2 linked regions of the Macaca mulatta genome follow. The protein of the gene in region 1 purifies or fractionates together with the protein of each later gene. This does not show direct contact. Links are inferred from orthologs where the notes say so. Each region holds a gene or a part of one and is shown on either strand. Other genes may lie near its edges.

Region 1 (3,651 bases):
TATATAATAAATACAACATATAAAATGTGTGTTAATGGACTGTTCATGTTATCAGCAAGGCTTCCAGTCAACGGCAGGCTAATTTTAGGGGTTAAGTTCTGGGGAGTGAAGTCATGGATTTTCAACCGCACGCAGGGTCGGTACCCCTAACCCACATGGTTCAAGGGTCAACTGTAAAGGTTAAGCTGTGCTGCTCAAAGTGGAAGTGGAACTCCTACTGATCTGGCCTCCCTCTCCTCCCTTTGACCCTGCCTGTTAACACTGCATTAAAACCACAAGCTACTGTCCTCATTCATTCAGTATATCATAAGCTTTAATCAAGAAAATCACTGCTTTATGATTCACTTTGTCTTTTCCTATAACATTGGTAAATCAAAGTATAACAAATCTTTCAATGTTTTTATCTTTTTCCAGAAAGATAAAGCTAAGGACATAAAGAGCAAATATTCTCTTTTCCTAATGTAGAGCTTGCCTTGCTTCAGTACCATGACAGGTAGTTTGGTTTAACAAGATGCTTGGGAGTTCTAATCCCAACTTGGCCGGTAACCAGCCATGCAATGCTAAGAAATTCAAGCTCTGTGTCTTCAATTCTGGTGGGCTGCTTGACATCTCTGCTTCTCAGTTTTCCCAGCCATCATCTGTTCTGCCCTACCTATGTCATAGACTTTCTAAGTCTAGTGCAATCTCCATGAGCGGGGGAATTCAGTCTATTTTGTTCATAAATATACTCCCATAGCAGCTAGAGCAATGCCAGGCACTCATGGCAGGGTCTCAAAAAAATATTTGTCAAATTAATGAAAAAAGTCAAAATAGAGAGTATTCTAGATAGTTAACAGTTATATTCAAATGTAATCTCTGCTGATTAAGCACCAATCAAAAACATAACAGACAAAAGGACATTAATTTTTTTGTTTTTCAAGATTTTATGTTTACTTTTGCTATAACAAAACGTAAAAAGACTCCATCAATCCTATCAGCAATTTGTTCTGTTTTAAAACAGGCAGAGTACCTGTTAACTTTGCTATCAATCAAGACCATTTATTACCTATGGAAAAAATATTCTTCATTTAAGTATACGAAGGTTATCTGCTGGTCTGGAAATATGGAAGTTTCCACGTGAAATAGTAAAAGATACTAAGAAGCCACATTTTATGACACCAAACATTTGGTAATTTAAATAAAATTATTAGTTCTTTTCACATTCCACATAATCTAAAACTTCACATACTTTTGATCATTCGTTTTTCTCTAACATCTAAATTGTCCAAAAAAAAAAAAAAAATCTGTATTCTGGATATACTTTATTGTGCAAATACAGAATACACTAAGCCTAAACCTATACTAATGATTAAAAATACTCAAAAAATACTATCTCCTAAAAATACTTTATAAAACAACCATATCACCAAGATTGTTCCTGTTACTTTACAGCTTGTTAGATGACTCAAATAGAAGTTTCAGTAACAGATACACATGTGTAAGTAAACTTTGAGTGACAGAGAAATAGAACAAATCTCCCTAGAGAGCTTAAAACCAATTTATATCTAAAATACAATCTCTTTGACCAAATGAGAGAGATGATTTCAAAAAGTAGATCATAAATACAACTTTAAGAATCTAGAAAACAGATCTATTATAACAATATATTGTCTAGTTTTACCATATCAGAGAAGGTCTCCTGCTGAACAAATGAAAACCACCAATTTGAAGAGAAATACAAAAGTGTTCCTACTTCATCTGGATGATATCACTCACATGGGGATAATATTGTTGAGTTTGAACTCTCGGCATCTCGTGGTGGCCAACTGGTCCAGGCCTGCCCTTGGGCAGCTGCTGTTTCTCATATGGAATTTTAGGTGATTCATGTCCTGCTACAGGCTCTCCTTGTGCTCTACAAAGTCTGTCACGAAGCTGCACGATATTTGGCTAAAAAGGAATGGAAAAACAGCAGACTGTTAGAGTTCACCCAGATATATGACAGCACGTTAATCTTCTTAATCAGATTATTCATCAAGATAACCCTTTTTGTTCATAATGCTGGGTATTATACAATAGACTCTGACACACAGATTTGACATTGTGCTTTCTACTACTCAAGACTGGCACCAAAGGTCCATGACATACAGTGCAACTTGTAATTTAACGGAGGCAGAGATTTGAATTATACCTACCTCATGGTTACTATGCAAGACCAGTATCACTTATCACTAGTACTCTTTTGATGTTTTTTTGTGGTTACCTAATGCTCATAAATCACAAAACTACTTTAAAAACTATAACTAAGGCCAGAGGCGGTGACTCACGCCTGTAATCCCAGCACTTTGGGAGGCCGAGGTAGGAAGATAATGAGGTCAGGAGATCAAGACCATCCTGGCTAACACGGTGAAACCCCGTCTCTACTAAAAATACAAAAAATTAGCTGTGTGTGGTGGCGGGCGCCTGTAGTCCCAGCTACTGGGAAGGCTGAGAATGGAGGCAAGAGAATGGAGTGAACCCGGGAGGCGGAGCTTGCAGTGAGCCAAGAACGCGCCACTGCTCCAGTCTGGGTGACAGAGTAAGATTCCGTCTCAAAAAATAAAAAACAACTATAACTAAAAGAGGCCACCAAAGAGAATCAACTACTAAAGATGGTTATTGAAGAAAATGGTGATTTAAGAAAGAGATGAAAATGTTAAAAGAGATTTTTGAAATAAAGAGTAAGATGTGAAATTCAGATCTGTAGCTCATATAGATCTACATGCATAGAGACTTACAAAAGTATGAGGTGATCATATATATGCTCTAAGTATTAACAAATAACAAAAAGGCAATGTGTTAAAATGTTTCAGCAAGATTTTAGTATCTTTAAAAATTATACATTCCTATACATTTGTTAAAGGTTTAAAGGGATCATTTAAGTGTTTTAGGCATATTTTATTTGCCTTTTACAGGGGAGAATTATATATTACAATGCCATCACAAAGTTTCAGGACATACTTCCCCCAACAAAAAAGGCAGGGTCTACTGAGATAAATAGGAAATAACATCAAAATTATGCTTTTTGGCCTAAAGAATGTTCTTTAAAGTCCAAAAAAAAGAGCATGAAGAATAATGTATAGAAAATGGATGTGCTTATAAATGGTACTGAAAATGAATTAATCTTAAGCTAGATGAGCTAGGGGTCTTAAGGTAAATTAGTCTTAAGATAAAAATTCTTATAATGTATCTCAATATAACTATTTACTTACAACTTTTTACTTACTAAGTAAAAAGTCTTAACAAAATTAGTATGCCAAAGTCACCCTAAAGGAAAAGATTATGTATCATCTATTCTACCTAACATTCCCATCAACAATTCAGAAACGAATGAGACGGATCTTATAGTTAGTGTTTACAAAACCAACTAGAGAGTCATACCTCCATAGTCCTGGAGAATATTATGTACTTTTACCCAATGAAATTTATCAATACTTCCCTAAAACAGACAAAATACTAAAAACAATTGACTAAAAAAAAAAAAACAAAACCAAAAACATAAAAAACAGAATAAAGTGATTAATAAAAAAGTATAGAGACAAGACAGTATCTGCAAGGCTCAAAATCAAGCTCCATCAGACACAAAATGCAGATATATTCTTGTGGAAAAGTTTCCTCAAACCTCACCCGTACTTC
Region 2 (3,651 bases), on another chromosome or scaffold:
CGACAGTGTGAGACTCTGTCTCAAAAAAAAAAATGTATATGTATATATAGAATTGGTATAATGCACATATTCCAAAATCCGAAAACATCTGAAATCTGAAACACTTCTGGTCCCAAATATTTTGGACAAGGGAGACTCAACCTGTACCTACTTCAGAGGGGCCCAATGAGGAGTCAGAATTGAAAGTGCATGGTGTAGTGTTCTGCGCCCAGCAGGCATTTAGGGCCGGCTCTGGTTACTCCAGTCACTCCACATGCACATTCTGGCTCTGGTCCTCAGGGGTATAACACCCTGTGCTGGCTGCAGGGGGGTGGGCAGCTCCAGCTCAGTGTGGAGGAAGGTGAGGCAGACCTAGATCCCTGCCCTCAAGGATCTAGCAACAAGTAAACAGACCAGATCCCCACTCTTGGGAACTCTTGCTGGGGGAGAGACAGAAAACATTAAAAACCATAAATAAGAGCAGGGCTCGGTGGCTCAGGCCTGTAATCCCAGCACTTTGGGAGGTTGAGGCAGGTGGATTACCTGAGGTCAGGAGTTTGATACCAGCTGACCAACATGGAGAAACCCCATCTCTACTAAAAGTACAAAAATTAGCTGGGCATGGTGGCGCATACCTGTAATCCCAGCTACTCAGGAAGGCTGGGGCAGGAAAATCGCTTGAACCTGGGAGGTGGAGGTTGCAGTGAGCCAAGATCATGCCATTGTATTCCAGCCTGGGCAACAAGAGCGAATCTCTGTCTCAAAAAAAAAAAAAAAAACCACCATAAATAAGAAAACCAACCAGTGTGGTGGCTCACACCTGTAATCCCAGCACTTTGGGAGGTCGGGGCAGGCAGATTATTTGAGGTCAGGGGTTCGAGACCAGCCTGACCAACATGGAGAAACCCCGTCTCTACTAAAAATACAGAAAATTAGCCGGGTGTGGTAGCGCATACCTATAATCCCAGCTACTCGGGAGGCTGAGGCGGGAGAATCACTTGAACCTGTGAGGCAGGAGGTTGCGGTGAGCTGAGACTGTGCCATTGCGCTCCAGCCTGGGCAACAAGAGCAAAACTCAGTCTCAAAAAAAAAAAAAAAAGAAAAAACCAGTGCAGGAAAGAAAGTACTGGAGTGGGTGTTCAGGGATGGGCTCTCTGAAGTGACATTTGAGCTGAGGCCTGAAGATCATGATGGTGGGAGCCAGAGGGATGGTACCTGGAGGAGGAGTTCCAGGCAGAGGCGACAGCACACGGAGAGATGCTGAGGAGGGAGCCCTCTGCTTTGCCTCTGAACCTTGGTTTCCGCATGTATATAGTGAGGAGCATCCAGGTGCACTGGCCCGCAGGGTTGCTGTAGGGAGGAGGGAGGGAGGCTCTGCTCCATGCAATGCCTGGACCCAGCCGTGTGTGAGGAAAACAGCGGGAGTTGAGAATCAGAATCAGGAGCAAGGGAGGAGAGTGGCAGGCACTCCACAGACCCTGACCCAGCAGATGCCATGGAATCTTGACTCAGATGCTGCGGGGCGGGGAGGGCCTTTGGAGGGTGGGAACCTGGAAGGAGAAGCTGCTGGAAATGCTGAGGCCCTGTTGCCTCCTGGGCAGTGTCGGGGCAGCAGGAACTTTGTTATGTGGAGTTCTCCTTATACGGCTGGCTCTGCCAAGCTGCCCTTCTCCCTGAAATGTGCCTCATAGGAAATGGGGTTTCGGGAGCTTCCCGGAGAACATGAGAGGGCAGTGCCCAGGGGCCCCTCTTCCCATTGCTGGGTGGCGTGGTGGAGAGAACCCAGCTGTGACTCTCGATGTATGACCTTGGATGTGATTTAGCCTCTCTGGGCCTTGGCCCCGCTGAATCATGTGATCAGAGCACCAAGCCTGCCTCCCACGCTGGTCTGAGCTGCTTGAGGGCCATCTAGGTCCTCCTTGTCCCAAGCCAGAGGTCGCCTCTCCCAGGCTAAGCCGTGGCTGTGGGGATGGCAGTACAGCACCCGGACTTTGGAACACAATACTGGCCACTCTTGGCTGCTGATCTTGACCCTCTATCTCCCCCTTTGTGAATGGGGGGAGTGACAGCATCTTTTGAAGTGTACAGCACAGGAGAGGCACCAGACCACTGAGTCAGACCCTCCTCTGACTGCTTCTTAGCTGTGTGACTTTGGACAAGCTCCTTGCCCTCTCTGTGCCTCAGCTTCCTTGTTGGTAAAATGTGGATTACATTAGCACCTACCTCGTAAAGTCGTGAAGAGGACTGAGATAATCTGTGTAAAGGTTTTAGCACATAATCTGTGCTCAGGAAATATGAGTTGGGGTATCATGGCCTCAAAGGGGGGTTAGGAGGACTAAAAGTAGACCATTGAGCTGACAGCCTGGTCCATTTTAGCTCAGTGGGAGGATGAGGTCTGGGGGTAAAGTGTACCTAGTCCCTGCCTTCCTATGGCCTACCAGGAACTTCATGCCCAACCCAGCCAGGGCAGGGGAACCAAGTAAACCCCTTCACCTCTTTGATCTTCAGTTTCCTCCTCTGTGCTCACATCCTAGGTAGGGAGCAGTAGAGGCAACATTGATAAAGGGCCTGATGCCCCTAGTGATGCCTCTGATGCCCCTAGTGGCTGCTCTCCCAGCAACAGGTCAGGTGGCCACAATGACAGCAATAGTCCCTAACGGACTGAGCATCTGCTGTGTGCCAGGACTATGCTACAGCTTTTATGTGCATTTTCTGGTTGAATTCTCAGAACAATCCCGTAGATAGTAGAGCTGTTATCCCATTTTATGCAGCACTTAAGCGGTACAGTTGGGCTTTGAACCCAGGCAGCCAGGCTCTGGAGCCCATAAGCGTCAGTTCTTGTCCTCACCCATGGCTGGGTTTGGGCTACAGCCAGGCTGATCTCTTCCCTGGGTCCCCTCCTCACTCCCCCAGATCAAAGAGCCAGCCGAGAAGCAAAAGTTCTTCCAGGAGCTGAGCAAGAGCCTGGATGCGTTCCCTGAGGATTTCTGTCGGCACAAGGTGCTGCCCCAGCTGCTGACCGCCTTCGAGTTCGGCAATGCTGGGGCCGTTGTCCTCACGCCCCTCTTCAAGGTGAGTGGAGCTGTGGGACCCAGAAGGCTGGCTAGGTGCACAGGAACTGCCAAAGAGAAGGCCCTGGGGTAGGGCAGCCTAGTTAGGGCAGACCCAAGCCCATATGTGCAGGAGCTTCCTGCCAGCGTCTATAAACAGGCACCTGACCAGCTGTCCCCTGGGGAGGAGAGACTCTGCCCCTAAAATCCTTTTCCCACAAACTTCTGGTTTCACAACCCTCAGCCCTTCCTCCATTTCCCTGGGTCTGACCTGTGCACCCTGGTTCCCAGGGCCCAGGGGATTACCTACTCACCACCCCACTTTGCCATCTCCCTCCTGACTGCTTAGCACTCAGCTCACCTGACTTCTGGGGGCTGGATCTTCCACCCCTTCCTCAGACCCCAGCCCACCTTTTTATGGGCGCCGGCCAGTCCCTGCCCTCCTCACCTTGGGGAGAACCCTTTCACCTGAAAGTCTTGCTAGGAGGGGAGAAGACAACAAGCAAGTCCTGTATAGCTAAGAACCCCCAGAAATTGCAGGCAGAATTTCTGCATATGGCATAAAGGTACCTCCTTGTAGGGGGTGGCCCAGAGCTTTCATCAGCCTCCTGAAAGAGGCCGT

Evidence for each region. The genes of interacting proteins can lie anywhere in the genome.
Region 2: the proteins of SEC31A (region 1) and SCYL1 purify together in Homo sapiens (affinity purification with mass spectrometry; 3 studies listed by BioGRID and IntAct, counting the BioPlex papers as one, with this or other methods). This does not show direct contact. The link is inferred for Macaca mulatta from reciprocal best matches to the Homo sapiens genes SEC31A and SCYL1.

The regions. Positions count from the first base shown.
Region 1 is NC_133410.1:50,932,710-50,936,360, reverse strand, and holds part of SEC31A (protein transport protein Sec31A), read right to left. Parts: intron 1,927-3,651; coding exon 1,756-1,926; intron 1-1,755. UniProt on the Homo sapiens protein: Component of the coat protein complex II (COPII) which promotes the formation of transport vesicles from the endoplasmic reticulum (ER).
Region 2 is NC_133419.1:8,863,971-8,867,621, reverse strand, and holds part of SCYL1 (N-terminal kinase-like protein), read left to right. Parts: intron 1-2,892; coding exon 2,893-3,051; intron 3,052-3,651. UniProt on the Homo sapiens protein: Regulates COPI-mediated retrograde protein traffic at the interface between the Golgi apparatus and the endoplasmic reticulum. Involved in the maintenance of the Golgi apparatus morphology.